Arabidopsis thaliana: one gene and its partners. The protein of the gene in region 3 interacts with the protein of the main gene of each other region in a pairwise test. Each region holds a gene or a part of one and is shown on either strand. Other genes may lie near its edges.

Region 1 (5,537 bases), about 27 Mb from region 3:
CGATATGCTTCTCCGGCCAGATGAACTCAACCTCGAACTAATCAGATCCGTACGTAAAATCTTTATGATCTCTGTTTTCAAGATTTCAAGATTTTACTTGTTTTGGAGATTTGATGAATATTTTTCTTTATTTGGCAGGCGAAAGTGTTTCACTATGGATCAATAAGTTTGATTACAGAGCCATGTAGATCAGCTCACATGAAGGCGATGGAGGTGGCGAAAGAAGCTGGAGCTCTTCTTTCCTACGATCCAAACCTCAGGGAACCTCTGTGGCCATCCCCTGAAGAAGCTAGGAAACAGATCATGAGTATCTGGGACAAGGCTGACATTATTAAGGTCAGTGACGTCGAGCTTGAGTTCTTGACAGGAAACAAAACGATTGATGATGAGACAGCTATGTCTCTGTGGCATCCTAATTTGAAGCTCTTGCTTGTTACACTTGGCGAAAATGGATGTCGTTACTACACTAAGGTAATGTACAACAAACATTCATGTGGATTCATCATCATCATGATGATCTTGGTGTGTGATTTTGATTGATGTTCTCTTGACTCTTGTGTAGGATTTCCATGGATCTGTTGAAACTTTCCATGTTGACGCTGTGGATACTACTGGAGCTGGTGATTCTTTTGTTGGCGCGCTTCTAAACCAGATTGTTGATGATCAATCTGTACTCGAGGTTAACTCCCATTGATATTGTGTGTCTATTCAATCAACTGAATATTGTTGATGATATTTACTGATTTTTCTCGTTTCTTAGGAGGAAGAGAGATTGAGAAAAGTGCTGAGATTTGCAAACGCTTGTGGAGCAATCACGACGACTAAAAAGGGAGCCATTCCAGCTCTTCCTACAGATTGTGAAGCTCTCAGTTTTCTTAAGATACAAGTAGAATAGTAAAACTTCTCTTCGAGTCCAGAATTCTCCTTGTCTATTGTAATAATCTGTTCTGGATTCTTCCTGATGATTCTGATCATTTGTAATGTTTTTTTTTTTTGGTTCTCTCTCTGTCTTTTCTTTTTCTTCTTCATTGTATTGAATAAAACAGACTTGTGACTTCTGAGCTTTTCTTGCTAATAGAAAACAAAGAGTTTTTCGTAGTTGTTTGGAACCGTAAATTGCATTGAGGATTGTTTCTCAAGGCTTTGAAAACAGAGTAATAATCAGGAACAAACAAAAAAAAACCAAGAAAGAACAGAGAGAACACATTTAGTATCAAGTTTGTAGCATCAAAGCATTAAGCATAGACCATGTTCAAGAGGTATGAACAAAACTCAAACACAGACATTTGTTATAAGCTCTCAACATATCTTACACAACTTAAGACAAAACTAAAATGTATATGACATTAACTCCACACATGCAGATAGGTTTCTTGTTTGTTCTTTTACATTGAAGAATGTCTACACATAGATTACATATAGCTTTTTAGCCAAGATCAGGGACAATGAAGTGTTCCTCATCATCATCATCATATCTGGTCTCAAACCTCGGCTTCTTGTGTGAAACATTTGACTTCATAGGTTTGTATGAATGAACATGACCTAAATGCGAAACAGAAAGCTCAGGAACTTCAGCTGCAGGAAGAGCCTTGTCATTAATCTGATCACCGAAGAATCCCATGTCTGAAAACCAATCCAACTCCCCTGCCCCAAGATCAAGCTGTCCTTTCTGCTCAATTTAAACCAAGAAGTCAATAAAAGCTTCTTGCAAAGAAAGTGATCTAACATTGAATCTCAATTCTCATCACTACCTTGTCGGTGGATTCAATATCAGAGAAGTGAAAGAAATCGTCAACAGCCCAGGGAAGTGGAGTAGCAGAAGAAGGTTGTTGTTGCTGCTGGCTTGTGGATTTAGCAGGAATCTGATTAGCCTTCTGTTGGTTGTTGGAAGGCTCAGGTTGATTCTTCTCAATTTCTTTACTACATATAGTTGAGGTCAGAGCTACTTTGATCCCAGTGGCTAAGAACCTCTGGTGATTAGCAGATCGAGAATTAGCCACGTGGATGGATTCATCGCAGTCCCTGCAAAGCAGAGCTCTATCCTCTACACAGAAAATGAAAGCTGCCTTCTCCTACAAGTCATAAGAACATAATGAGCAAACCCTAGTCTTAAACAACAAGGCATACATACAACAGTTGCTACAAGATCTATAAAATCACAACTTTGCAACAGAGCAGATTCAAACTAACGAATCCATAAAATATTTGACAAGATCTAATGAGATCTGTAGAGAAACTTACTTGGCAGATATCGCAACGAGGGAATTTGGTGGAGAGGGAATTAAGATGAAGACGTTGGTGCTTGCTAGCGAGTTTGTTAGCGGCGTGAATCTCGATGTCGCATTGAGGACAGAGAGCAGCTTCGTCGGCGCAACAAATCACCGTCGCCGGAGCTTTCTCACACACATCACACTGTATCTTCATCACCGGATACAAGAAACCAAAATATCTAGGTTTCTCAAGAAGGAAACAGAATGCTTAAAATGAAGGGTTTATTGCTAGTCTGGCTTCTCTTAGAATAGCTTAGCAGAAGCGTAGGTTCAGAGAAAGAGCTTAGAGAAGATGAAAGAACAAAGAGGGAGAGAGTGTTTTGTGGGGAACAAGTAGGTGGGATGAGCAATTGGTTGTGAGTGAAAGAGAGAAGATAAGGATTTGATGAATCTTGCTTGTTGCTTTGTTTTCATTATTCTGCGTATCAAAAGGAAACACTCTGCTTCTTACAGCAAGGTCTTGCGGGTCCCACTCTTTTTCTGTGGCTCTCCTTCTTCCTCTCGTCATCTCTCCTACCTTTAGATATTTTTATTATATTCACACTTTGCTATTTTATATTCTTGTTATTTTCTCACGTAGTAGAGATTTGTGTTTTGTTTACTAATCTAGTCAAAACACATTAATTTTGACTAATAAACTAACTTCAATAATTCCACCACCACTAGACTTTTACGCTCCTTTTATATGATATGCTCGAATTTCAAGTCTCGTGAACTTTTACGATTTCAAGAAAGATTTGTATACAAAAATGGGCTTCATCTAGAAAGAAAGAGTTGGGTAATGGTATTACTCAAATCAGAGAATATTACACGACTACACGTAATCTTGAAAATGACATGTGAATTGATTCCTTGGAATGACGACATGTTATGTTAATATGTACCATTCGATCAGATTTTTCTTCTTCTTTCACTTTTTCGTTTTCTCAATCATAAAAACGATTAATGCAATCATTAAAAATATACTGGCATGTTAACTAACAAAGAAATGAATGCTTAGCCCGTTCGAGAAAAAGAATGATCCTAAAAGACACCAATACAAAATTAGGCATGGTTGGTCACAAGAATTGTTGTTGGATATCACATATCCATCCATATTAGTAAAAACCAATCTATACATCTGTGGTTTTTTTAAAGAATTGACAAGTTTTTGTTTCTGTTTTTTGGTAATGAAATCGAACAAATTCAAAGAATTGTGAAGTTAATAACTCCCAAAACACTTACTGCTTCTGTACATGTTCATCCTTCTGGATGTCCCCATGAGAAGTATTGTTCATGTTGGCCGTATCTTGATTAAGCAGATTAGAGAATCCATTTCCAATCGATTTCCACCAGCTCGACCGCTCTGAGGTAGTTTGATCCCACTGGTCATTACTGGTGCTTGAGGACAGTTCGATAGATGTGGCTGACTCGGTCTGCAGCTCAGAGAATCTCACAGCTCCTAGTAGCTTTTCTGGAAGCTCTGCTTCGGTCTGACTCTCAATGAGGAACGCAAGATCAACTGTCAATGTAGTAACGTAGCCAAATGCGAGATGAACAATGGCACTAGCGACCATTGAAGAACCAATATCGACATCAATCTCCACAAAGTTTTCCCCTGAAACATATTTGCAAGAGAGTGCACGTCCAATCACACAGATCGCTTGCTCTCCAACAGCTTTTCTAACAATCCAAGGGCCTTTGACAATGTTTGCAATCAGTTTAAGCCTCGATTTCTTGAACCCATCATCTCCTTTCAAAAACCGATCCATCAGGGAGCCTTCAAGGATAGGCTCTGTGGTAACAAAGTAAGCCACAGCACTGTAATTGTCTTTGTGAGGAAGCTGGAGATTGAATGCCCAGACAAAAGGCTTAGTTCCATCTTTTTGAAACTCCTCATCGATAACTTTCCTGATTCGGCTGCTTGGATAACTCAGGATCTCAGAAAGCTTTTTAGGACCTTTAATCCAATCAAAACCCAGAGGCTTTAGAAGGAAATCACCAGCAGGTATCTTAACTTTGTCAGAGAAATACTTTGGTCCTCTAACCATAAATGTGTCAGGAGATGGCGTCGTCCAACCATTTTTGCAGTTGTCGTCTGGCTTAAGACATGGAACAGCTCCCTCTAATTTCACTCTCTTAATCCATTCTGGCTCAGTTTCCTCACCAACAGAGCCAGCCATATCTTGCGAAAACCTGCAACACAGAGCTTAAATCCTTGAGTAAAACTGAGTGTGGAAAACAATCTCATGGATTCTACTTAGTGAATATAGCAAACAAGAATATGCCATCAAGAAGACCAAAACATGTGATCAGAAAACAGAACCATGTATGTCTGAGGCTCTATCTATTCCTCATCTAATTTCCCATAGGATTCATACTATGCCACAAGAACTTTTTAAAAGAAAAGAGTGAAACAAAAATTGCTCAAAGAAACAAAAACTAGGAGCTGGTAACTCCGGTTCAAGTCATAGCTACACCGGAAACTAGAATAAAGTTAGTAAATTGACTCAAATTCTGAGTAATGACATCAAAATTCAGCATACACGATTCTGAGATTTTCTACAAACCTAAGCCCTAGATTATCTGAAATAACATGCATACCATTCAATAGACAAAGCACAGAGACAGAGCCCAGATAATTGAATTTTACATTCATCTACAACACATAAGAAGAAACGGAAAAAAAAACGTTTTTTTTTATCAACAGAGCAATCAAAACCCAGAAACGATTAACAAGTTTCAGAGGTTCAAGAGGAATCAGCTACAATAATAAAAAGGAAAAAATCAAAGTTGAGAGATACAAATAACAAAAGACTAATTCAATCGCAGGACAAGGAGCAAACAATAAACCTTTTGCAGCCGAAGAAGAGAAGAATTGTCCAAAAACCCTAATTCAAAAACGAAGACTTGTCAAGGGAAAAGAAACAAAGAAGATAATCCGATTTTGCTAATCTTCTTTTGTTGTTTGGATTTAGCGTTGAAACGGATGCTGCGAACAGATCCTAAATTCTTCCGTGGCGTAACGCTTTAGTTCATATCTAATTAATTAAACTTCCAACTGGAAATAAGGTCCAAGTCCAACTAGTAATTATTATTAATAGAATTCAAAATAAAAATAATATTATTAGTTTGGATTTAACAAAAATTTATGATTATTATGACAAAAAAAATATATGATTATTTACTATGAATATTATAAAATAAAACTATATACCATATGATTTTTTCCCTAATCAAGTATGAGATTATATAATTCAAACTATAAGATTTTTTTCCCTTAATTTT
Region 2 (9,231 bases), on a different chromosome or scaffold from region 3:
AAAAAGATGTTAAAAGAGATATAATACAGATAGGTTGACAAGCAAAGAATATGCCAATCCTCCAAAACAAACTAATCATGACCCTAAGAAGCTTTTTCATTCACGTGGCTGCCTCTGCTACACCATTTACCCCTCCTATGTTACCTTCATCCTTAGCGCTTGAGGACTCAGCTCTATCTTCGTTATGCTTACCAAAGCTCAAAATTCCACCATTAACATCCACCAGAATCTCTTTGCTGTTACCAACTTGCTGCTTTAGATGCGTGGAAAATGCTTCAGGGCAACTTGCAAGCAACTTGGCCGACTCTGGCAAAGATGTGAGCCCGGTTTGAATTCTGTTGCCATCCCAAAAACCGTAGCTCGTAATGGGAACGTTCTGAAGGTGTTGCTGATTAATGTAATGATGTCTTGTATCATGGTCCCTGCTCAAGGTTGATGATGACCTGACAATTCCACATGGATTGTGTTTTTGTTTTATTCCATTCTCATCAGTAGTAAGTACTGTACCAAACAGTTTCACATCTCCATTCTTGTGGAGTCTCTCAGTATCAGACAAACTAAACGAATGGCTCCTGCTATGACCAGATCTGCCCTCTTTATGGGATACTGCCAGAGGCTTAGGAGCTGAACTAGTACACTTGGTGAGTGAGAAGCCTTCACCTGTACGTTGGGTTTTTACGATCAAATCAGATTTTGATCTACTTATCCTGCTCAGATCTTGGGTGACTGATCTCTGGGGATTTTGACAAGATTCTGTATTGGTCGCTTTTAGTAGACCAATCTGCTCAGGGTTTACATGGCCTAAAACCTGAAGCCTCCCATCCAATTCCAGATTGTTCTTGGGCCAACCCAAGTCATGTGTTTCGTCAACTTGTCCAACAAGAGAATTTCCTGACTCGGACTCTGCATGGCAATTTGGATTTCCTCGTGGTGCACTGACGCCTATAGGGTTTTCCGTACACACCTCAATCGGAACATGGTGAAGACACTCAGGGTACCTGAAACCTGAAGGTGCACTTTCAGGTTCAAGGCCAGAATTTCTGGTTCTGTTTGCAGCTTGCATCACTCCATCTTGATTCTTTGAACTAAATTTAGGCATTGTAGCACCTTGATCTCCTGAGCCCTTTCGTGAGATTTCTGTAGGGGTTTCCACAATAACATTGGAAAGAACACTTAGGCCACAATACAATGGCTCGGAAGATATAGTGACAGATGTTAAGACACCTTCATCGATTTCCATTGACATGAGATCATTGCTCTTGCTTTTTCCGGCAGCCTGAGACTGGCTCTCAACAGTATTAATATCTACCAAATCTCTACAAGATTCTGAAACTAGACTCGGGAAACCGCCATTGACATATGCATTGTTCACGAGATTATTATCATCTTTCAGACACAAATATTTCTGCCCATTCTCTTCTTCTGATCTACTAAGGTCGGCTTTCACATTTGCAGAGCCTGATTGATTAACACCATCCTGATTCATATTAAAAGGTGAGGTAGGAGAATTCATACCCATCTTGGCACAAACTCCATTATTCACTATGCCAGAGTTACTCTCCATAGGACAAGGATCTTCCAAGTCGCTCCCACCACCCTCATTGCCATTATCAACACTTACGGATGTGCTTACATTTCCAGATCCAAACTTTATAGATTCCAACCCAAGACATTTCCGAACTTTGCTGAAGAAAACCTTACACTGATCTGGAGATCTTGTCCCGACGTACCTTGATATTGAAGCAAAATTCTTGCCAAAAAGCGAAAAACCCTGTATAAAGGCAGATCTCTCATCATCTGTCCAGTGAATAGGACCTGTTTCCCCACAGCTCTCTTCCGAACATGAGTCATCTTCTTCGTTGCTGTTCTCATTGTGTAGAGTATTGCTGTTCTCATTATGTAGAGTATGAGATATCCGAGGTTTCTTTACGACATGATTAAACTTCAGATGATCCATACACCTCTCTCTAGAGCTCACAGAAGTCCTTAAGCAAGAATTTATCTGCTCTGGTGACAAAGGACCAACAGCTAAAACATCTGCACCAGCAGTTCTCTTACGTGGGAAATCAAAACTGTAGGAGCACCCTTCAGAGTTATTTCCATCGTGCTGCAATGAATTAGCACTGCTGCAACCTCTAAGGGTGATCTTTTTGGAAGAGATCGGCCTGGTTGATGCAACCTTTCCAGCGTTTGCTGCTATAATGGAGACATCCCCTAAAATATCAAGAGAGGCAGCCCCCATCTCACGTTTCCACTTTTTTCGTGGAGCCAACATGTAGGTGTGCTTCCCTTCCTTACCATAAGCACGCTGCTTCTTTATTTTCCCAAAACAATCAGACTTGTGGTTTTTGTAGTAGTAATCAATACAGTCCGCAGTTGTCTTTTGGGTAAGAGATGAAGCAATCTTCTTGAAATCCTTCCCATGCATTGCTAGCAAATTCAGAAAGATTTCTTTCTCCTCTGAGGTCCAAGGATTAATCATTGTTCTTTCCTTCTCAACGTCACATGGATCTTCAATCAGTCCATTGCTAGAAATAAACCTCGACATCACCCTCTCTTTCTCATCCAAAATCATAGCAGGCATTTTCAAAATGTCTCTAAAAGGCTTTAGATGGGTACCCGGAAGTAGCTTTTCCATATAACTTACGAGCTCTGTTGTGGGGACTACACTATCCCTTCTTGGAGCTGCACAGGTAGTGTAAAACAGTTATTAACTTTAAATTCGATGAAAAAAGGCTTCAATTCATCTGTGATCATTATCCCAAATTTTTACACCGCAATCATCTCCTGCGTATTGATATACTTTCTAGTTAGCATCTAAGACAAATATTTACCTACGACAACATAAAAGATAGACAAGAAATAAGCATCTGCTTAAACTATACCTCCTCGTTAAACAAGCTAGATGTTAAAATGAATATTACAGTGGATATAATACTAGAATAAAACCAACATCTAACATAAAATTAAAATAGCGTTATCAACATCCAACAAACACGTTAGCATGGAATGACTCTGAACTTAGCTTGCAAATAATGAATTATGACCACTATGTACAGCTCTGTAACAATAGTTCTCAAGAGTTGTATATGTTTCTCTCAACACCTCACGCCCTTGAAAAATCACATAATTCAAGTCTCTACAACTAACACATCATAAAAGCCAAACTTCATCCCAGACAGCGACAAACCACGACAAGCTTAATATATCAGAGTAAATAGAAGAGAAAAGAGGTTTGAGAACTTTACCTGAAGAAGAGAACCTCAGGCGTACAGATTGGGGAAGCTTCAGATACCCTCCATTTTTTGCATTCGGATATAGTTCTGTTTTTTTGCTAGACTTTGATTGGTACTTTGCTAAAGCTAGCTGATCCAAATCTTTCTTCCATGAGAGCTGAAACGCTTTAAACTGAAGGAGTAAAATTTTCTCCCTAGCTCTCAATAGGCCTACCCTATCTGCAATTTTTTCTTGGACATGAGAATCAAACTGCGTTTGACATATGCCAGGGAATCTTGAGTTGTCAGACGAATTAAAATCTCTTGGAAGCAATTGATTGAATACTCCAGATGATTCACAAGCATATTTCTTATTGGCAGATAATAACTTAGCCCAGAACAAGTCTTCTTTGGAGGCCATGCTGTCATCAGCAGAAGAAACCTCAATAGTTTCCTGATTGGCAAAAGCAGGTGTGTTAATCTCTTTCGAAGAAACAGCTGCCTTCATAGATGGTATGGGCAGTATATCTTCCTCTCTTTCAACAGTGGCAAAAGATTGGGATAGAGGTTTAACTTCCCCAGGACTATCTTCAAAAACATCAGCAGGAACCTTGGCTAAACCAGCCTGATGCACAGGAGCTCTCACCAGTGTTTTAGCTACAGAAGAAGCTGTTGCCTTAGGATCCAAACTACAAGAAGCCTGCTCCTTGGGCACATTTGCATCTCCATCACAACAGTATGAACTGGGTCCAACAACACGAGAGTGTCTTCTACCTTCAAGCTTTAGTGTCCTATGTTTGTTTTCAAGGAGATCAATTTCTGATTCAGTCATCTCCACAGCTTTCAAAATTTCACCTTTCCAGGCAAGTAATGTGTTCATTGATGTCAATTGGACAGAACTGGAATCCCCTGTACCAGAATCATCAGTACCAAGTAACTCATTGAGTAAACAGCCAAAACGCTCCATTGAGATGTTATCGAGCTCCTCGATATTGATTGGGAATCGTTCAAGGTGAATACTAGACACGGGACTAGGCGAACGGCACATGTTACTGACATCACTAGCAGCTATAGCAGCCTTCGGAGATGATTTATCAGCAAACCCTGAATGTACACAAAAGAATAAAATTACGAGTGAGTTACACTGTCCCCAGCAGAAGATAACAAAAACAAATGGAAGACATGATAAAAAGAGAAAAACAAAATCAGTGTTTACAAGAACAGATACATGATGGAAGAATTCAAGTAATATGAAAATAATGCAGATAACTCCAAATAGATCAGGAATGAGAAGAGCACGCAGAGAGAAGTATTAACAAATTGTATTGTACCTGGTGATGAACTGCAAGCTACAGAGGATGGTGTTGTAGGGGAACCATAATCTGGAACAATGGCTGCTGTGGGACTTTTATCAGCAATATTTTTGTTTAACGAATGTAGTTCCTCTAAACCGTTTTCCATCAATGTTGTTCCATCTTCATTTGGGTTAACATCAACTTTCTTTTTCTCATATTTCGCCAGTCCCTCACCCCACCCGAGACGTTGTTTCTTTCTAGAACTCATCTCCTCAGAAAGATGAGTAGTTGTGGCACAGGCAGTAGCGTCTCCTGAAGAAGATTGAGTCACAGTAACAATTTTAGGAAGAACCTCAATCTTCCGATCGCTGGAATCAACAGCCCCCAAGCTTTTCAAGCTACTTGAATGACTAAAACCTGAACTCTGAGATGCAAAACTCCCAGAACTATTCCACAGTGGAAGTTTCCCAGTTGCTCCCAGAGAACTCTCCTTTGCACATTTCCTATCACCGTCTATATCATTGATACCATGTAAACTATTGTTATCTTGCGGGTCTTTCAGGCGAAGTTGTTCCCAAGTCCCCTCCAGCTCTGCATTGGGGATTGGAGCATCTAATGAATTATCACTAACTAACCTTCGACCATACATCAAATCATTGCATTGCTTTGCTGGTGAACAAACCTTATTGCCATAATTGTTCTCAGAAGAAGGCCGTTCAAACAAGCTAATACATTCAGAATGAGGATCTGAAGGAAGTGATAACCTTTGATCTGAAAATTTATGCTCATTTTTAATTTTAAGAGACCGTACTGGGGTACTGATCTCATTGTCCAGATAATGAGCCGAGTTGGCTGGATCCAAAGAGTTCACCACGGTAGAATGAGTATCTGAAGCATGTAGCGGCCTTTCATCAACTGACCTCCGACCATTTCTAATACCAAATGGCCTCTCAAAACTTCTAGAAGATCCGTTGCTCATCTCCCATGTATTGCATTTCCATTCCTTTTGGCTTACAGAAACTCTATCATCCCTGCAATTCCTGGTATATCTCCAGTCTCCACGCGATGCTGATGGCCTATAATTATCAAACATTCGGGCACTGGACCGAGAAGATGTGTATCCATGACTAGTCTCCTCCACAAACTGGTGCCGTCCACCCTGCTTACCATGACCTTCAGAAAATTTTGAAGACAAAAGGAAGATGAGAATCACAAACTAAAGCAAGACCTGTATTCAACCAAATATATAACTTGTGAAACTAAAAACGACATCTATCCAAAAAAATTAGACTTTTACTGCTGTCAAAACATGTAGTATAAGATTCTCCAAAAGGAAGTCAAACTTAGAATCATTATAACACGAAGTCAAGTTAGGAGAAAAAAGTGTCATTACGCCCACACAGGGTTTCAATACTAATAGGAAAAATTATACAAGTAAGAAACCTGCAAAAGTAGGAGCTATCTTCATCTAAATCTACAACATGTAAAACTAAAACTAACAACACTCCACGATGCTAGGACTTTTTATCCGTTTTAAGATTCATGAACACAAAACACAAACACAATTGAGGTAATAAAGTCCTCTTGCAATGAAACTAAATCTACCTGAGTATTAAAAATTGCTCCTTTGAAGAGTAACCTCATCAATTCACTTCCTATCAATCTTAAGAGCTGTGTTAATGCTCCAAAAATACCCTAAGCTATCATGACACAGTGAGAACTCAATCTAAGAAACAAGGATTTGCCTCTAAATCAATTCAAAAAAAATTATAGAACCAAAAAGGAAAAGTGGATATCTAACAAATCCACAGAAAAATAGACTCTACCAAAAACAGAGCAGGAGAATTCAAAGCCCTAAATTAGAGAGAGAAAAGGAGGTCTTACAAGAAGGTCTGCGGAAGTCTCCAGATCCCAAACGAGAAGAAAACTCTCGAGGAACATGGTGAGAAGAAGGCGAATCCCTCCATCGAAAAGGCGGGGATTCAAAAGATTGTTCAGGCCTATCGTGTTTCCTTTGCCTCAAGAGCTCTTTCCGATCCCACGAAGCGTGATCCTGCGGCATCAAGTTATCCAGAAGAATCGCATAAGAGTATCCTTCAAACCCAACTCCAGATTCCCTCCGTACCTACCTCCGTCAAAAAGGTCTCGGAACAAAAAAAGAAGAAGAAGAGCTGGTGGGGAAACCAAATCAATGAAGACTCGTCGTTTCTGAAACCAAAATCAAACTAGGGTTTCGTCAATCTGAAGATTAAAATCCGAAGTAAACCCAAAAAGAGCGGAAACAGAATCAAAAGAGGAAGAAACCTGAGAGCGGAGCTGTATGTAAAAATCACTACTGAGAGACAAGGAAGGGAGATTTCACCGCTGAAGAAAAAAGCTCAATAGAGAAAAAGAGATTTCCTTTAATTTCGGTGTTGAAAGACAAAGTAGGTTTTTTTATGGCGATTCCTCTCTGTTTATTAGCTCACAAAATCCAAAGAAGAAGAAGAAGAAGAAGAAGAAGAAGAGATAGAGAGAGAGAGAACAATGAAGAAGAAGAAGGAAAGAGAAAATAATCCCTGTAACCTAAAGATTCCAATTAAACTCTATTTCATTTTATTTTTCGCGTCCGCTCTATTTATATTATTTTACTCCTATTCTGAAAAAGACATTTTTTTTTTTTACTTTTTTTTTTCTGTAAATCTCAATCCAAATCCATGACTTTGTCTACTACACAAAAAAGTATAAAATCGAAATTAGTAAATACTTACAACCAATGAGAAGAGAGTAAAATACATTAGTGAAAGATTAAAAAAAAAACTATCTTCATTGACTTGTGTAAGCAAAGAGAGAGACGTCTTCTTCTTCACACCGATCTTCGAAGTTCGTAGATCTTTTGGTTCGTCTACACGATGGCGAATCAAGACAAGTTAGATCATCATCGGTATAGTTCTGTCTTTTTTTTTCCAGATGAATAAGATCGTTTTGCGAATCGAAATTTAGATTTGGGTTTTGGTACATTTTTATAGGTGTATTGATTCAGAGGCACAAGATCCTACTTCAGTGACTATTGAGTTTCTTCGTGCACGTTTATTAGCTGAAAGAGCTGTTTCCAAGAGTGCTAGAGCAAAGCTTGATGGTCTCGCTGATAAAGTATGTTCTTTTATAATTTGTAGGGATGATCCAGTGAAATGTTCTTTAGTCTTATGTCCTGTCTTAATATCTTTAGGTAGCTGAGTTAGAGGAACAGCTCAAGATTGTATCTTTACAGAGGAAGAAGGCTGAACAGGCAACTGCTGATGTTCTTGCGATCTTAGAGGAAAATGGGTATAATGATGTGTCTGATGATTATGATTCAAACTCTGATCATGAATGCTACTCTCAGAGTAACTCAGGTTAGAGTTTTTATGTGATAGGAGGAAAGTTTCTGATTCATGGGTTTAATGAGATTTGAGCAACTCTCAGTGTCGGAGATTTGTTTGTTTTTTAGTGTTAGGCAAAAGTTTGTCCTGGAAAGGTCGCAGGAGGGAACCAGGTTCTTCTGACAAGATCAAGGAAAACCGGAATAGGAGACATCACAGAGGTTTCGAGTGTGCTTATTTTTCCTCACCGAGACATCGTCAAGGAAGATCTTGTCGGCAAATTAGACGTGGTGAAGCAAGGTCTGTTTTGTTATCTTTAGCTGCTCAGTGATTTATGAGTGGTTTACTATTACAAATTGTGCAAGCATTGCCTAGAAACACAGTGCTTAGAAATTTGAGATTGAAGGTTATATGCTTAGAAATCGTCTCTCTAATTATATACATCATAAATCGCTTTATTAGTAAAGCAATTGTAAAGCTTGCTTATGTATGTTGTGTAATAGAATAACCAACATTTTTCAACTTTCCAGAAATGTATCTGAGGATTACAAGAGAGATGGAAATCCGGTTGAATTTCAAGAAAATGGAGTTCGCACTGAAATGCTTCCTCAAAAGAATGATCAAGTATCTAGAACCGTGGTGGATGTTGCTGTTGTGAAGGGAGACGATAGTTTGAACAAGTTGTCAAATTCAAATGGTTTAGAGAAGGGAAACAGTACGGACATCAACTTGGAGAGAGCGTTAGAAAACCGTGCTCAAGTTATCGGATCTTTTGAAGAAATGGAAGAGACTCAAAGGGAATGGGAGAAAAATTTCAGAGAGAATAAATCATCTGCCCTGGTATGCCCTATATCTCAGGCTTTGACCTTTAGAAATTGTTTTCATCAATTGTGATTATGGTATATTTCGTGTTTATATGAATCAACCAACAAAGTTTCTTTTATGTGGCGTTGATAATTGTGCATATGCTGCAGTTTTCTATATTTGGTTTGCATGCGTATACATTGATTCTTTTATTCTGTCTTCTCTCCATTGTGCTAAAAAGTTATGAAAAATGTATGCTTTTTTTCTTCTTTGTATTAACTGTTATATAACCATATTGTTTCTGAAGACATTATCTATGAAGATATCTTAGTTCACAAAGGTTGAACTTAGTCTCCGCTTAATTCACTGGAATTCCTGAACAATACTTCTTGTCCAATCTTTCAGGATTTATGTGACGTTGGAAACCATTCAGATGTGACGGATGAAAGTAACGGAGAAAAAGCTCAATCTCCACTTCAAGGTTCTACAGTAGTCCCTTCACTCCGTGATACAAGGTCTATAGCTAATGAAGTTGACTTTAGAGAATCGTTTGAAACTTTGTCGCATGGTTCACCT
Region 3 (8,419 bases):
AATCTCTGATTTAGTACATGTTTCACCCAACTGAGTTCTACATTGTATTTCGATGAGATCAATATGAATATTTCTTCGTTTTTATCAATTAATCACGAAAATAACGCGTTAAGAATCTACCAAAAAGTAAATAACGCTTTAGAAATTTTACGAAAAACTAAATAACTATTTAGAATTTTATGAGTTTGTTTTAAAGACAGCGGTTACTGTGATAATTGCATACTATATTTTTGTCGATTATAAGAAAAGATTCGCCCACCCGTTACAACGATATAAACATGATTTTTCGACGGTTACAAGTTAATGGCTTAAACACGAGAACATTACATGACCTGCCAAAACCAAAATATGAAAAATTTGTCCCAGAGTTTCATTTATCAGTTTCCTTTTAGAGGATTAGGAAAGTCTATAACAACACAGCCAAGTGGGGCTTTAAGTACAAAGATGTGTGAAAATGAGGAATGCATCAAGTCCCTAGGGAAACTATGTATGGACCGTATGAAAACGTATATTTAAAAAGAAAATCAAGTGAAAGGAAAAGCTTGTACATGACCAATGCATGTCCAAAGGAGATTTGTGGTGAAATATCTTCAATGAGCTTCTAAGAGAAGACAGGTGACATTTATGTATATAAGAAATGGAGTCTCATCATGTTTACTGTTATACAATGAGAATGAGAGATGGTTTAAAAACCTCTTATTTTCATAATTTTCATATATTTGACATTTTAGGGCTTCAACCATGTAAAGAGAATAAAGGGTAATGTACTTTGAGACCTTTTCGATACATGCACTGTGACTTTATCTTTTTAAGATATCCATGTGCTCATGTCAAGTGCCTTACATGCAGTTGAGCAACGATTGGGTTAAGAAATCTTGTTCATTGTGTGTTTTATACGAACGGCTGATAAGTAAACGTAAATGTGAAGGTTTCCCTATATATACGAATTATGATTGGATAGATATATAGATCCTTTAAGTAACATATGTTCTACACTATCTAGACTACTAACTATTTTACACCCAAAAAAGAAGAAGGTCTACACTATTGTGTGGGCCATAGAGCTTGAAGAACATATGTTACTTAAAGGATCATGGTTCGAACTACAACATTTTTAAGTATGATTTGTTATTGTAATTGTTTTACATGAAAATAATATCATACTTTTTCATAAATTCTGAAGATTGGTATGAATTCGACCAAGAATCTCACGGTTGTAAAAAGAGAGAACTTAAACAAAAATTGTATACTATAGTAGTATAGTCACATATTATTAACTATTACAATAGAATGTTTTGCTAATTTTTGTCTGATGTCAACAGAAAATAGATAAGCATGAATATCTAAAAATCACAAAACGTGTTAGATGTAAATATATAATATTGGGTCTAATGCAAATTGGAAGTTGCAATAATATGTTTAGTTTTTTTCTTCAAAAAAAATTTTCTTGACTTTCCTCATCATATATATATATATATATATGAATGCAATTGTGGATCACGAAAGCAACACGACACATCTAAGGCCTAATTTTCAGGCCATTTAACTCAACCCAAAAGCTTCCAGCCCATAAAACTTCAGTACTCTCCTACAATAGGAGCCATTTAACTTGATTGAACTATAAATTGTAAGTTTTCTTTATGTGAAACCTGAAACTGAAATAAACAGAGAAAACAGATGAAAACTTCATTTTCTAAAAGATATATACCAGACACTGTGATTGTTGGTTGCATACTTGAAGGTATAAGGAACAGCTTCCTTACTAACTTTATATGGAACATCAATATTCATTTCTCTACTTTAATATTCAGAACTCAAGTCACAGTCAAACTATCACATTTGCTATCGTTTGTTTTTAGTTCTGATACAAACGAATTCCTAAAAGAAAACAAAGAGACAAATAAAGAACTAGCTCACTTGGGATGAGACCGGTCACTGCTCAAATGGGACTCGCACAAACAGTCGACCATGCAGGCTCACAACCGCTGACGTGTGCAGCGGATCGATTCTTGCGGGAAAGTTCACAACCTACCATAACCAAAATCGGAAAACAATTGACAACTATCCTTCAATTAGCAACTAGGGCTCTGTTTGGAGTGTTAGAATCTAACCTTTTTGAAGGGTGTGATTCCCCAAGGATTGTCAAGTTGCTCAGGTTGGCCTGCTATAACTAGCCGCCCTGCAGGGTCTGACTGAACACGGACCTGAAAGAAGAAATCAACTTATATTGAGGAACTAGATTCTGTGTGCAATCACACAAAAAATTACTATGAAATTCATTACAACGGACAACAGTGTGTGTATTTAGATTCGAATCCAGTATATGTTCACATCTATGTCGTAGGAATCAGTAACACTCCAGTGACAAAACACTGATCAAAGAAGCTTTAGAGATTGAATTCCAAGGAGAAAAGCTCACCTCTTCGCGAAGAAGTCCAGGTACCAGGGCAAATATCTCAAAGCAGTCTTTCTGTAAATAAAGACAACAAAAATAAATTTGGTAAGATTTCAGATTCAAAACAAAAACCCAGATTGCAGTTATTTCCCTTTCTTCAGGCAGTGTTGTTTTTGACTTTTTTTCTTTCTCATGTCTCTAGTTTCAAGAGTTGGGTAAGCGTTGCATTATATGAGGGGGGAAGCGGAAGTGGTACTCACAGTTTCTCTGACATTGATCTTCACCCAGTCTGCAGGGGGTCCAACATCTATAACCTCGGCAGTTGACCTATCAAGCCAAAACCATATTATCAATCTTTTGCTCTGATTATAATAAACGAAATGAAAAGACAAGTTACAAAATTCTCTGTATTCATTTAATCTCCTGCGCTATTTCTGAAATGGCAGTTCTTACAACTACCACCCAGAAAACAGTGCTTGTGATCTACCAAACATTGACAATGCAGGGTTTTTCGATGGATAAGATTGTATGGAATTGCACATGGTAAAGCAATCTTGCATAAGCAACACAAAAATACAGGAGATGATTATCTTTCGTAACTGTTTTTCTGATTCGTGTGAAAAAACAAGGTCCATGCCGGTTGTTGTTTTTTGTTTCTGCACACCTGAAAAGAACATTTATACACGGTGGCATTAGGTAATCATTCTGTAGGTAGTGGAGAACAATAGCCATCGCTTAGGAATATTACCAATGTTTTTGAGGTTCTTTTGCTTTGGGGTTGAATTCAAGCCTTTCTCCTGAAAATATATGTACAAACAGAATCATGTTGAAGCGTAAGTTTGTGCATGGTGAATTATGAAACGTGGTAAGGTCTAAATAGAAACCTTAACAATAGGCTCAGTAACCTCCCCAGATCCAAGAAGGCGCTGAGAATGCCAACCTTGCATAGCACGAGCTGCAGCATCTCTTCTTGTTCTGCCTGACCCTGAAGCTTGATGGCTACTTGCCTACATAAGTGCCCTTATATCAATGAGAGAAAAAGGGAAGGCATATAAAGTTTAAAATTCTGTTTTAGGGAGCTTAAATTGGTAATTAGCTGTGTTGTGTACATATTATTTCTTATGTTTCCCATATAACACAAAACGGTACAGCTTTATTCAATCAGATTGCAGAGAGTAGTATTCAACATGTTAAGCTGATATTACTCATGCCCGAAATTTCCATCTGTATAAAATGATTTTATAAAGAACTGCAGAGCTTTCACTTTATCTAATTTAACAACATGGTTTACCTACTCTTAAATTGACCTCCTCTCAAAGTGTTCACCTACCCAAAAGCATAAGAATTACACAATTTCATAGGAATTCTAACCTCCTTTTCAATGCCTGAAGACGGAAGAGAAGCTGAACCAGGAAGGTTAAGCTCACCATTTTGCCTTAAATGCTTCTCATACTCCAAAAGTGCCTGCGGTTGGAAATAAGGATACAAATAATGAAATTTCCACATCTTGATAGGATAGAAATCAACCAGACTCCATGTTAGGAAGGAGTCAATCCAAATAAACTGTTAGAAGGCTACTAAACCACGACATAAATGATAACGAAACCAGCTAGTCTCAGACACACTACTGACAAAAGGAGCAAAAGAACATTGTCTGAATCGAACATGTATGAACTAAACTGAACAAGTACAACCTCATTAATATCAATGCATATTCAGTACTTAGACCAAAAATGAAATTCACCTTTTCATAGAAAATGCGGAATGTCCAGGAGACTGTAGTGCATGTTCTGAATAACAAAAATGTGGAAAGTCAATTTCATACAAGAAAGCGGAAAAGGTTGAAGATTGAGGACAATACAAGCCATACTTTGGAGGATGGAACGATTCTCCAACTTGCCGCCATAGCTTAGATGTGGTGACCTATATAAGAAAATGAAAATCATAGGAATTTTGAATACCACAGACATAGAGTTTCAAGCAACGTGGGCGGTGGGATAGATTTGAGTATAAACTTTCAAACAGAGTAGATGACACTAAGCAAGTTCAGTTGCCAAAACACAGACCTAACATAATTAACACATAACTGCATTGACTTAATTATTTCCGGAAGCCATTCCTTGTTCTTAAATCATCTTCTCATTCATTAGCTATAGTTCACACGTTATACAACCCAAAACGTATAAATCGCATGACCTGTAGATAATAATCTAAAAGATTTTTAACCTCCTAAAGGGGAAGAGGGAGGAGAAGATCTTAGTAAACATAAAATCATTGGAAGTTCGAAAGTAGATCATTACCACATCGTAGCCACCTAACTTGATAACGGCTCTCCAAAGCCTACATTTCAAAGTAAAGCATGCAGACGTTATCACGTCAAACAAGGCATAACCAAAAGTATGGAATTTTCCAAGAATTAAAGCAACACTTCCAACAACTCACTTGAGACAATTTAAGGGCTGTCCGTAAAACTTTGGGGCTTTAAATTCCAGGAAATTCTCCTTGTTGAAGGCCTCCACTTCTTTAATAAACGCCTCTTGATCCTGTGGTGCCCCTGCTTCATCAACTTCCCTGGCCTGTATAAAAACGTGAACTCGTGATGAAATAGAGCCACTGTGATGACCACAGATCTCACAAAAAACAATATTCAACGCTTAACGCAAATGCAGGCAGACTAGTTGTCTGAAATGTGACAGAAAAGTGCTCTCATCACCTCAGCATCACTCAACAACCATGTCTTCCACTTCTTAACACTTTCTTCAGGAACATGAGGACTCGACGGATCCCCCTTCAAAGGATTTGATTCCCCAAGTGTTGTCTCCTCTTGACCGCCATCACTAGTAATCTTCTTTTCAGACTGATCAACATCACCATTCCTCCCATCAACACTGTTCTGACCACCAACCTCTTCATTAGCCTCAATTTGATTAGCAATGGGAGCATCAGATAAATGAACATCACTATCCAAAGTATGAGTCGTATCCTCTGGAACAGGGGACTTAGGTCTTTCAATAGAGTTTAGGTCTTTCTCTAGTTCTGAAGGCTCCTCTACAACACCTTTGGTACCAGACGGCACATCTTGCTCTTGCATTTCAGTATCCGCCATCATGAAGCTAATTCTCTGAGACATAGCATCACAACAACAACGCAGAATTCAAAATCCAGAAATCATAAATAGAAACGCACTATTGATAATTCCAGAGAGAATGCAAGACGCATGTAATCGAGAATTGGAACGCATCAAAACTCTGAGTCCTACTCTCTCACTGATTCGCTATAATTCAAACAGTGATGGCGACTAAAGCATTAGAAAGCAGAGCTTCACGAAATCATGGAGTACATACATAGAAACAAAAGATACGGTTACCGGTTTCGCCGGAAGAAGAAGACGCCGGAGACGGTGGAGTCGTCGCGGGTTAGGGTTCGATAGCAGCCGGCGAAATGGAAGGACGCCGGCGGAGAAAAAGAAGCGAGAAACGGAAAGATATCAATTAAACGGAGAGATATGCAGATCAAAAGATTTATACGGATGATATAATGAACACATGAATTCATTAAGAAAGAAATTAATGCTTGTTACTTGTATTAACTCTTAACGAAGATCTTAATAGCAAAACTTATTAATGATATTTCAGAAAGTTGGACTTTTACGACCCATTTACATAACAAAGCCCATTATTGTAAACTATGGGCTCAATATGTAAGGTATATTATGAATATAATCTTAGGCCCAATTAAACACGGAAGACAACGTAGGTTTCTGCTTGTCTCGATTGTTGTTGTGTTTTTATTTGTTACTAAAGATAGAGAAAGAAATATCGAAGCATTGTGCGTTCATGTTCAATATAGAGTTTTTGTTGTACCAAAAAAATATAGTGTTTGAATCTTTAATTATAGACTAGCTAGCATATAATTAACGTGATTAACTTTACAATTATGGTGATGATGATTTTCTCAGTATGTAGGTATAGTACTTGTCAAAGTGACAAATAATTGCAATTTAATGAATTGGTGTGGATCCAAAGGATAACAAATAGTATGAGCATATTCATTCGAAGCAAAATGGTACAGAATTAAGCAAAGCTTTTTGTCCAAAATTCTAATGAATTAAGGACCATTATTTTTAGGGAATAATAGTCTTTGATGCCCCACATTTCCAATAGTACAAATCAAGATTTTCAATATATGTCAAGTTTGTTATTTTCATTCACGGACATTAAAACGAGTGGAGCATTTCAATTTGACATATCTTTGTCCTTTTCTTTTTGTTACAGATATCTTTTGTTCACGTTCTTTGAATCATCATATTCATAGCTATGAGATCATAGAAATATCAAATACTGTTAATTAACCTCTTTAAAAATACATATTCACAAGTCTCTTGTGTGAGTAGAAATCCTATACAAACAAGTTTATTCATGCTCTAATAAGATAGATAAATAAGAAGATAGCTCATGACATGGCCTTCATTAGGCTTGTTGCATATACAATAAGCTTACATATAAGGAATTAAGGATGGTCTAATATCTCTTGCTTCACATGAGAAGAGTTATAGGATTCGAGTCACATAAGAGATTTTTATTGTAGTGTGTATAATATATCCCACTTCTACAATTATCCAGTCTATTGTGTATTTTTCATTAATAAATCACTAAAATTTGCACTTTGACAATATATACTTAAATATTTGTATCTCGTATATATATATATACATATTTTTAGCACTGTATGATAATTCTAATTATTCGCTAATTGTTTTTTTTTGGTAAGAATTAGTCGACTATTTTGATATTGGGGTTGTTACATTTATATCTTGCATTGAATTTTATGGACGGACACTGGTCGCAGCCTCACACACTAATTTGAATTTTCCGTTATCATTAATATTCGATCGTTTCGTTGGTACGCTTCCATCACACAATTAATTTAAGCCACCACACTATTATCTTATTCTCATTCAGTTTTGTTTCCATTTCAAATTTCTTACGACGCATATGAAAATGTACATTTTTATAACAATTCCCCTTAAAAATAGATGACAAAAAGAAAAATGTTTTTTTTAAAAAAATATATAAAATAAAATAAATAATAAATCTTCAACAATCGATGAACACTTTGCAATATCTCCACACCTTGGGCAAGAACCAGAAAAAAACATGGGGCACGTTTCGTAGTCGATGTGACGAAAGGCATGACGACGGTTACCATATAAATTCGTCTTCTCAGATAAAGCCTTATTATTCTCAATAGTGTTATACGACAATATACGAAACAAACAAAGACCCCGCTTGAGTTGAGTTTTCCAAAAATTGTGGAACTGTTTCCTCTTTCTTTTTGTACATAAACTAGGTTACAAAAAATTGGAAAATATACAAAATCAAAGGACATAAACTTACGAGATATATCATAACTCATAAGTTGTGAAAGTTGGAATTCAAAAAGGAGCTAACTATGAATCTATGATACGTTATTTTGTTGCTTATACGGAACAAAACAATTCCAAAAACAAAGAAGATGTAAAAGTCTGACCCGGATCATGCGGACACCAAGTTGTACATACAAAATATGTAGGATGAAAATATGAAATTCTCTTCCCATATGCATAGAATAATAATTTACCTTAGTTAAAAAGATTAGTTTCTAAGTTTGCCCCAAATAAAGAGATTAGTTTCTTGAAAAAAGCATTTTGTGGATAGACAAGAATTTAAATAGAATGAAGAGGCGACCATGCAAGTGTTGTACTAGGCCAAATTTTGGAGACGCTCTTTCTCTTTCATAGAGAGAGAGTGAGAAAGTTCTGATACGGCGGCTTCTCACTGTCATCTAGCTGTACCACTGACGATAAATCTCTCTCTTCCTCTAAATCGGTTAAAAAATTCATTCCCTTCTTGGATTGCTCTGTTTTCTTCGGCGGTTCTTGCAGCTCCATTGATTCTCTGTTTCCTCTGCTACAGTTAACTTATACTTGCAGATTCTCGCGTTGATAGTAAAAAGATGGTGAAGCTTTTGGAGCTGTTCATAACT
Region 4 (8,970 bases), on a different chromosome or scaffold from region 3:
TATCTCCTAGATCCATCCAATACAGTAAGATTAAACGCCGTACAAACATTTCAAAATCAAATTCGAGCTCAACCCAAACTCACACACACAAATAATATCTGAGAATAGATCTATTTCGTTCATAGGGGAGAAGAAAATACCATGAAAAGCGAGACTGGTAAGTCTGAGCAGAGCACCGTGGAGATACACAGCCACGAATTCCTCTGAGGATCTTCCCGTTCTTCTGGTCGCTGCTCTGAACGATTCTTCTCTTAGCTCTACCATCTTCTTCTCTCTGAATATCGTTCTTCTGTTCGTTGCTCTGCACCAATTTTCTCTTCCGTCCACCATTTCCTTCTCCCACCGGAGCTATCATCTTCCCTCTACTATCTCCTTCGGCATCACTAGATCTCGTCTTCATTCTCTCTCTCTCTATCTCTCTTCTCACTCAGTATCTCACTAGTCGCTAATTTGTTAAGCGGAAAATTGTTTCAGAATTTGGTTTTTGCTCTGAACCGTGTAGCTGTGATATATAGCCGCGAGGGAGACACAGCGAATTTGAAAATTTCGAATGTCAAATGACGTATATACCCCTGTAACAAACTTTCTACCTCTGTAGATTTTAAAATTTTTAAAATACTTTTCAATTTTAGTTAGAACCCGGTTTAGCACCAACAGACGTAGCATTAACCGAGAGGGTCCCAGTGAGTGTGGTTTCCATGATTATGAAAAATCAAGATAGTATGGATTTTTTTTAATAGAAAATTCAGAAACTGTATTATGGAAAATGTTAAAAGCTATATTAACACTTCAACATTTTGGAACTTTAGGTTGTTGGCTGTGAAGTTATTTTCTTAGAGTCGGTGAATTCTAGACATTTACAAAATTGCTACGCCGGAAAAGTATCTAGCTGAATGTACATTTAATGAATCAATCGGAAAGAAGCCAGCATCATGTCAAGGGATTTCCCGTAAGCTAGCCGCCGAGGAAACAAATCGGTTAGCTTCCCACCGCCATTACTGTTCAATTAGAAAGCAAGTTTGAACGTTTGCAAGAATGGTTTAGACTTAAGAGAGCTCTAGTTCATGAATTTGCGGCAGTTTGGAGCTTTACAAAGGCAGGGCACTTTGATCTCTTCAGATTCATCAACCTCAAAGAGATAATCATACCTGTAGAGAAATAGGTTTTCATGATCAAGGTTAATAATGCATATGGATTTAATCTATATCTTATGAAAAGAGAAGCTGAAGAAATGTTTTACGTAAGCTCTTCCCCAGCTGCGACATTGGTTTTTGCAATGAGGACGATTCTGTTGTCTTCTCCATCACCCATACTCACTATACGAGCATAGCAATTGGGCATACACTGCACAAGACATAAACATCCTTAGTATTAATTACCAGGTTTTGATCTCGTGTGCCAATTTAGGGAACTTACTGAATGATTGATCAATCGTGCGATGTTCCCAGAGTCTGTGGCATCAATTACTATCTCTTCGCTTATCTTGAATAGCTGCGTTGTTGTTGTTAGACAATAAGTTACTTATTAGATGCAGCGGTTAATGTTTTAATCTAAGCAAGCAAGCAATCGGAACTTACGTAACAATCTTTGCCCTGCGAACGATAGTTTGCCTCTCTCAGATCTGCAACACTTCTCCTAACTTTCACCCCACGATACTCGATGATCTGCACAAGAATTTTAATAATCAGTAGTTAGTTTGCCTCAAGAATTTCAATTTAGCCATATCAAAACCACGAATAATACAACGTAAACTAAATACCATTTCTCCTTCTTGAATACTTTTCCTTGCAAACAAACCCCATCCATGTATGCCAGATTTACCAAAGCAGACTCGAAAATTTTCTGTCCTCTGAAGAAGATAATATATTGTTTATAAATATTCTAGGATAACAAGATGGAGAAAATATTAACTCTTCATGAATCAATGTTTACCTGCAAATGTTTTAGCCGTTCTCTGAATGATGTAAAATCTGCTTCCTGGTGTGTAACAAGGTAAATGGAAATTAAGATCTTCCTAAGATATTCAGAAAACGTTGCCCCAAGAAAGCAAAACACTGACATGAATGGAGCTCGGAATGAGAAACTTGCCTTAAAAGAGTTTAGATTCTCGATTGCACTCAAAGAATGATGGCTTGGTCCCTTAAGCCTGTGGGATATAGCCTCCAGATCAATCTTCTGAAACGTCAGCAGTAAAAGATATGAAGTAGTAGCTTTGCTAGGGAATAGTTAATAACGAAAGACTCTCCAACGTCCAAGAATAAACAAGATCCCCAGATGCATACCTTTGTGTTTGATCTACTATAGATACGGCATCTTGCTGCAGAAAGAGAATCAAATACACGACTCTGTTCAGCTTGGGTTTGGGTTTGGAAACCTGGAAGCTTCATCTTCTTGGTCAAAACGAGTCTTGAACCTTTGGCGCGCCCATATTGATTCTGAAGCAAATTTCTAGAGCCAAATACTCCTGAGGGTGTGTGCACAACTACAACACTATCTGGATCTGGCTTTCTACATAGTAATGATACAGGCGATCAGTTGGTCCCAGTATCACATAACAGGTCAGTTAAAGAATATGTCGGAGAAACAAACCTGTGAAATGAACAGTAAACTGACTTCCTGGTTCTCTGCACACCATTTTTTTCCAGGCAGTGCAACTAAATTCCATAGACAAAAACATCACTTACACATCCCTAAGATGATTAACTAACAGGACAGAACACCTTTGCAAGGGGTTTAACGTGAAAAATGAAGATTATCATAAGCACAGAGGCTAAGCAGTTTAAGGACTTGACTAACCTCCATGTTGTAACCTGCCCGTGATGCACACATTGCGTGGAAGTGAGTTGCACACTTGCAGCAATGAACGCAGGAACCATGTGTCTGCTTACAAATTGTGCAAACCTAAAAGGAATTTTCAGAAAATATGAATGATGTATAATATAATAAAACTTCTAATAGAACATGTTGGTTATACTTTCCACTTCTAGCATTCATTTATACCTTAAGAAATGAATTTGCTGGAATTTTGAAAAGTCCAACAGCAGGCTCCATATTTTCATGATTCAAAAACCCAACTTCCGGTCGGAACCAAGCACATGTTACATGAACCCACAAACCCTCAACGTCGCTTGGTTTTAAAGCACCACCTACATAATGGAAGAGTTCAGGAAAGAACTAGAAATATGGAAAGTGAGTTCAATTTAGAGCACATCTACCCAAAAGCGAATTCTCAGAATGACTGTATGGAACCTTGTGACAGGACAGTCAAGAATAAAACATCACTAATGCAAGATCAGGAAAAAAATCATAAAGAGAGCTAATTCTGCAGTAGTACCTTTTACAGGACAAAGACAACAATCTCTCTCAATGTCTGGTGTTTCACATGCTCTGCATACCCAGGAAGTGAGGTCCTGAGATTTGCTTACCCCATAACATTCTTGGTGCACAGCCACTTGACACCTGCTTACAGATTTGGTCAGATTTATGACTCATGTTTAGTTATAAGAACGCTGTAGAATTCAGTATAACCAAATTATGCCATTAAAGTAACCTGTTACAGATGATCATTTTATTTTCTTCCCAGTCTTCTACCCATCTGCATACAGCACACCTTTCAGTCGTCCACTTAGCCCTGACTGGCTCATACTTTTCTGTGCATATAAAATAAGTAGTAAGCAAGTATCTTAGCAATTTTAAACTCCAAAAGAAGGACGCCAAGAATTAAGATATACTCTACCTTCTAGCAAAGAGAGCATCTTTTGCTTATCCAACATCTGGGTTTCTAGAGTATAGGTACTGAATTCTGCAATCTGTAATATCTTGTTGTCAGTATTATACTTCTTATAGACATCATGCATGTAAATTTCAGGGGTATATAAGGGAAAGTTTATGAGAGAGTTAAGCATAAGGGATGTACCCATTTTTCTAGAGGTAGCATTGTGTCTTTCACTCTTACACTATACTTCCACTTTTTGGCTCTGCAGCCTGTATGCCGTTCCCATTCACTTGGTGACTGCTTCCTTGACCCACATGAACCACACTTGCACTCAATTCTGAAAACAATAGTTCCAAGATAAATGTGTTGTTTTAATCTCTGGAACAACAAGAGAATGGTAACAGAAGCCTAGGATCAAGCGCAGAATTGTCGTCTTCAGAGAAAAAATCATCTTACGGCATTGCATTGTACAGTCATGGACAAACAAAATCCTGCTCAAATGAGGAAATTGAAATAAAGATGATGCATCTAATACTTACGCATGAAATTTTCTGATATATGTCCCTTCCATGCCATTACAGACTACAGTAATCGCATCAGGCAGCCCAGTCTCTGTTGTCTTTTCTGTAGACCTGTCCCAAAGAGGTTGTGAAGAGGAATTTTGCAAATTAAAGAATTAGCAATAGAACAATGCAAATAATAAAAGCAGGAGAAGATATTTTTTTCGAGAAGACTAAAGTGAGAGAACATGAGATGTTAACAACATACTTAAACACTGAGTTCTGTTCTTCTAATATTGTTGGCGTAAGCTCGTGTTGGACTTTACAATCAGGGCAATAGTAATTGTTGTGCTCCAGTTCCTTAAGATGAAACCAAATTAGAACAGTCATTCGACAATAGTCTTCAATACTTAAAATCAAAAGATAAGATGCACGGCGATGTATAACGGCACCTTAAAGCGTTCATTCGTAATGTTGTCGCATTCAGCATGTACCCATACGTCACACCCATCACAACAAACCTAATACATCAAATCAAGTCAGCTATATAGATATTATAATTTCTTACTCAGGTCAGTATTTCACCAAACATGGTCACAGATATTCTCACCCAATCTCCATCATCTGAAGGGTGCCATATTCTCTTGCAGATGCCACAATACTGATTGGATTTCCGCAACTGAAACAAAAATTTGGATTCAATTCCCGTCGATCAAAGAAAACTGAAGAGGGAGGAAGTTTTGATAAGAACCTTTGAGCAGTGTTTGCATAAAAGCTCTTCCGGTTGTGAGTCTTTAGTCCTTTTTAGAGATTTTAATGGCATTACTGAGCCACAACCGTCGCATGTCCTTATGTCCTCATGATATGAACCCTACACAATAATTAAATCAGCAAATCGTTTAGGGGAAGGTATTTCCAGTAACTATAAAAGAGTCAGATACAAACAGTACATCTACGCCTATGTAGTATGTTTAAACTTCATGACTTAGAACAGAAAGTATATCACCAGACGTAGACACTACAAGATGCTTATAGAACTGTCCAGAATTGATTTACTTTTGTCTTCCCAAAACAATTAGAAGAGCAAACTTGAACATCTAACCAAAAAAAAGAAAAGGAATATGTGTCAAGAAAACGTGCCTGAAATCTAGAAGCAGGTCCATAGTCCTGGTCGGATTCCGTCGCAGAGGAATCTGGGGAGATGATTTCAGCATCTCCAAAATTACCATTTTCTGCTAAAACTGCTTCCTCTAGTGCCTTGTTAAATTCACTTGCCTTGTAATTGAACAAGTTTGTCTGATCCTGAAATCTGAAGAGATGAAAGACTAGTAAGGAACAAGAAACAAACACACAAGTATGAAAGATTTCCAGAAAGAGCGTCTCATGTACTTACTTGTCCATAAATTCCGTAAATGGATACACCATCCCTTGTCTTACCCATGCATAGTCCTGTTAATGACCACAAGTTTTCAGAAAAAAAGATAGTAAAAATAAACGCCAGCTTGAAGACAGATTAGGATTAAAGAGATTACCCTCTGAGTTCCATCCTTGGAGTACCCAAAAAACATGACACAAATTGCGCCAGGGACGCAATGTTTCAAGACCCCATCAGGCGCTTGTGATATCGGATCGATCACCACAGCCGGCCATGCTGGGAATCTTTTCCCACACTTGGCCCACACAAGATCGCCAACCGTAAATTCCTCTGGTTTGTACACGCCCTTACGCGAGGCGTCGGACTTTTTCGGCATACCAAAGTTAGCATCGTCGTAGGAAATTTGAACATCCCAGTAATCGCAATCTACTTCACTGCTGTCTCCGTTATCCTTACGTGGAAACACCTTCGAGTCTTTGCTGCGATGCAATTTCGAGCTTCCACTGAAACCTTTGACCTTCTTCCCCAGAGATACGTCGTCGTCATCATGACTAGACTCCGTCGACTCTCCCTTGCGACGGCTAGATTTCCATGTACCAACAATGGAGTCCTTGAACCTAGAAGGAACCGCTCGAACTCTGCCACGCGAAGACTTGGACTGGTCAGAGCAAACTTGTTGAGATTCTTCTTTGCTTGTCAAGGAGCTTGAGCTACTAGTAAGAAGTTCTGGTTCTTTGCTACATGGTTGATCCACGGTTGCTCTTTGTCTCTTCTTATACACTATAATCTCACCCTTTTTCCTCCCATACTCAATTTCTGAATCAATTTTGCACCGCTTCAGATTCTGATTCTCGAATGTCGTCAAGGTCCGTTTCAAAATCATATCCTACCTAAGCAATCCTCGCCTATTCAACATAAACGACTATCCAAATTCCGATTCCAAAACCCTAATTTCATCAAACAAAACAGATTTCGCACTTCGGACCTCCGGAAGGAAAAAGAAGAAACTCGTAACGTTTAAATTCCTCTCGCAAATTGGCTCAATAGTCAACGAACCCAATGCGAAACCGCTTCTCTAACCCTAAATTCGAAAACGAAAACCAAATTCTCGTTTCCCTCAACAGGATAGAATTAAGAAATCAAACGACGGAGAAATCGTTAAACTCTAAAACGACGGAGAAACAACAAATCCTCCTCGTAGATTCCCTGGAGAAAATTATCAGTCGGTTTCAGTACGGAGAAGATAAAACCTTAAAATCGACGGCAAGGGAAAACAAAAGAGGAGGAGAAGGATCTTTGTGTTCTGATGAAGGAGACACACACCGTCCGTCGTCGGTTTATATATTTCTCCTTATTATTATTTTATGGTTAATTCTGAAATTAATTCGCCTAAACAAATAATAAAAACGAAAATAAAAAAAACGAATATGCTGACGTGGCGGTTGAATGGAACAGTGTTTGGCTCCAGGGATTGGGGACGAGGGAAGACTGCGAATTTTCAGGCGTACGAGAGCGCCAAGTCGAAATCTTCCTTTTCATCAAATCTGACGTGGCGCATCAATAAATAACTCTCTCGTTTTTCTTCTTGTCACACAACTTATTTAGAAAAATCGAAGCTTGTTGGGCTACATATTGGGCCTACGATGTTTCTCGTGGAACATTTTGACAATTAATAAAAGAAACAACTTCGAGTTAGGCCCAATATGAACACTGTATGTTTCTCATGCAACAACATTTTGACATTACCAGACAATGGAGGAAGATGATCCTTTTTTCATTTCAAATAAGACTCAAAACTTATCATCCAATTATACGTTCATGATTTATATGAAAGATGAGAGATTGCATTTGCATACAAAAGGACCATATTTTTGTTAATCGCTCCATAATGTTAGCCTTAGGGTCTAGGGACGTCTATGCACATTTACAAACTCATAAGGAATTAAAGAATTACGTATATTTCACTTTCCAGGAACAACAACCTTCAAAACTCAACTTACATGACAACAAATTGAGATCCAAAAAGAAACAAACCTTAAAAAAACAAATATCACCATGTTGCTCTAAAGTCTAAACCAAGACCGATTTCCACTTGAAAATCATATTGCCGAACCAAAAAAAAAAAAAAAAAATTACAACACATATGGACTATAAAATCAGTGACCAATGATTATGGGGAAAACAAAAAAAGTACCTTTATGTACAAGAAAAAAAAAACAGAAGATCTTGAATCAAACACTAGTACTAGAACTTGGATGTGTCTCAAAAGAGGGAGGGCTGCGAGAAGATGGTGAGCCGATAGTGCCACGAATCCTGAATATTTCAAGAACAACAAAAGCAAGTAACGTGACTGACAGAACAAATCCATATCCAATTTTCCATCCATCTCCTCCATTATCCGCCATTCGAATTCCAAGAACAATGTTCACTGCTCCAAAAAAGAGAGAGATCCTCCCAATCCAATGATGATACCAATTCCAATATCTCCTCATCTTTGTCTCCTTCTGTGGCCGTGCAAAGAAAGCCAAAACCTGAAGAGTGCTAAGGACTAGAAGAAAGATCCCAATGCCTCGATGCGCAGGTATATCCGGCTGGATCCTATTGTAAAGCTGAATCCCAAGAATAACTGCGGCTAAACCGAAGATAAAGCCCGTGAACTGAAAACCGATATGAAGATAGTACCAAAGAGGGTCTTTATGTCTTAGATATCTTGCTAGGATTGCCCCTACAGGAAGTAAGAAACCCCATCCGAGTATCGCCATTACTCCATGTTTTGTCTTCTCCGTAGAAGTTGTCGTCTTTATGGAGGTTGCTCCACTAGCTGCATTGACCAAGAACATACAACTATTGAACTCTCCCCTGTTTTTAACATGTATAGATTAGACTAGTATATACATTATATTACCTTTGGAAAAATCGACGATGACTGTAGTTTTATCATCATGCTTAGTCAAACGGCCTAGCTTGGAAGGATAAGCAGTGCTAAACGCTAGAATGACAGCTCTCCGAGGAACTCTAACGGCGAATTTCACCTGGAAAGCTAAGTAAATCATTGCTCCGTGAAGAGCCACCACCGGCGGGACTTTTTGTAGTTGCAATTCTCCTTGATCCGGCACAACTTGGTCTCTCTCCGTTCCTTGGAGATAGTATTGTTTGATTTTGGCGTGACCCTTTTTCGAAATCCATCCGATCATCGCGCTTGATCCAACCATTCTTCCTTCTTTCGAGAATCCAATCCCAACCCACCCGGTTGTGTATAAAGCCGATACTATAATCGTCATCACATTGTCTCTGTTTTCTGAGTACTGCAAAACAGAGCAAGCAGCGTTGAAAATCAAAATTATGGGTTTTAGGAAAAGTTGGTTTATGTTTTTCGGTTT

The links.
Region 1: the proteins of AT1G76510 (region 3) and STO interact in a two-hybrid assay, tested with the Arabidopsis thaliana proteins (one large-scale study listed by BioGRID).
Region 2: the proteins of AT1G76510 (region 3) and AT3G52250 interact in a two-hybrid assay, tested with the Arabidopsis thaliana proteins (one large-scale study listed by BioGRID).
Region 4: the proteins of AT1G76510 (region 3) and SDG14 interact in a two-hybrid assay, tested with the Arabidopsis thaliana proteins (one large-scale study listed by BioGRID).

The regions. Positions count from the first base shown.
Region 1 is NC_003070.9:1,827,236-1,832,772, forward strand, and holds STO (B-box zinc finger family protein), read right to left. Parts: upstream 2,749-5,537; 5' UTR 2,631-2,748; coding exon of another isoform or gene 2,531-2,630; 5' UTR 2,454-2,530; coding exon of another isoform or gene 2,425-2,453; coding exon 2,242-2,424; intron 2,073-2,241; coding exon 1,752-2,072; coding exon of another isoform or gene 1,722-1,751; exon of another isoform or gene 1,670-1,721; coding exon 1,427-1,669; 3' UTR 1,105-1,426; downstream 1-1,104. Other genes in the region: AT1G06030 (pfkB-like carbohydrate kinase family protein), read left to right, coding at 1-49, 139-471, 563-679, 761-895; AT1G06045 (uncharacterized protein), read left to right, coding at 2,287-2,453, 2,531-2,630; AT1G06050 (ENHANCED DISEASE RESISTANCE-like protein (DUF1336)), read right to left, coding at 3,491-4,432. UniProt on the Arabidopsis thaliana protein: Acts as a negative regulator of seedling photomorphogenesis and light-regulated inhibition of hypocotyl elongation. BBX24/STO and BBX25/STH function as transcriptional corepressors of HY5 activity, leading to the down-regulation of BBX22 expression.
Region 2 is NC_003074.8:19,373,970-19,383,200, reverse strand, and holds the start of AT3G52250 (Duplicated homeodomain-like superfamily protein), read right to left. Parts: upstream 7,064-9,231; 5' UTR 6,815-7,063; exon of another isoform or gene 6,719-6,814; 5' UTR 6,573-6,718; coding exon 6,395-6,572; intron 5,684-6,394; coding exon 4,547-5,683; intron 4,320-4,546; coding exon 3,249-4,319; intron 2,686-3,248; coding exon 101-2,685; 3' UTR 1-100. Other genes in the region: AT3G52240 (transcriptional regulator ATRX), read left to right, coding at 7,402-7,433, 7,519-7,642, 7,719-7,884, 7,980-8,151, 8,382-8,691, 9,061-9,231.
Region 3 is NC_003070.9:28,706,995-28,715,413, forward strand, and holds AT1G76510 (ARID/BRIGHT DNA-binding domain-containing protein), read right to left. Parts: upstream 5,955-8,419; 5' UTR 5,740-5,954; intron 5,517-5,739; 5' UTR 5,505-5,516; coding exon 5,109-5,504; intron 4,972-5,108; coding exon 4,838-4,971; intron 4,736-4,837; coding exon 4,696-4,735; intron 4,319-4,695; coding exon 4,266-4,318; intron 4,186-4,265; coding exon 4,071-4,185; intron 3,860-4,070; coding exon 3,767-3,859; intron 3,403-3,766; coding exon 3,280-3,402; intron 3,193-3,279; coding exon 3,144-3,192; intron 3,060-3,143; coding exon 2,996-3,059; intron 2,723-2,995; coding exon 2,656-2,722; intron 2,471-2,655; coding exon 2,420-2,470; intron 2,205-2,419; coding exon 2,112-2,204; intron 2,029-2,111; coding exon 1,937-2,028; coding exon of another isoform or gene 1,933-1,936; exon of another isoform or gene 1,799-1,932; coding exon 1,687-1,798; 3' UTR 1,345-1,686; downstream 1-1,344. Other genes in the region: AT1G76520 (Auxin efflux carrier family protein), read left to right, coding at 8,390-8,419.
Region 4 is NC_003074.8:22,850,076-22,859,045, forward strand, and holds SDG14 (SET domain protein 14), read right to left. Parts: upstream 6,898-8,970; 5' UTR 6,474-6,897; coding exon 5,748-6,473; intron 5,665-5,747; coding exon 5,609-5,664; intron 5,525-5,608; coding exon 5,356-5,524; intron 5,087-5,355; coding exon 4,967-5,086; intron 4,895-4,966; coding exon 4,826-4,894; intron 4,737-4,825; coding exon 4,668-4,736; intron 4,576-4,667; coding exon 4,484-4,575; intron 4,348-4,483; coding exon 4,255-4,347; intron 4,053-4,254; coding exon 3,917-4,052; intron 3,810-3,916; coding exon 3,737-3,809; intron 3,651-3,736; coding exon 3,551-3,650; intron 3,460-3,550; coding exon 3,335-3,459; intron 3,147-3,334; coding exon 3,001-3,146; intron 2,902-3,000; coding exon 2,797-2,901; intron 2,655-2,796; coding exon 2,590-2,654; intron 2,509-2,589; coding exon 2,283-2,508; intron 2,176-2,282; coding exon of another isoform or gene 2,173-2,175; coding exon 1,933-2,172; intron 1,850-1,932; coding exon 1,760-1,849; intron 1,665-1,759; coding exon 1,578-1,664; and 8 more. Other genes in the region: RMF (reduced male fertility), read right to left, coding at 141-400; AT3G61750 (Cytochrome b561/ferric reductase transmembrane with DOMON related domain-containing protein), read right to left, coding at 7,822-8,411, 8,496-8,895. UniProt on the Arabidopsis thaliana protein: Histone methyltransferase.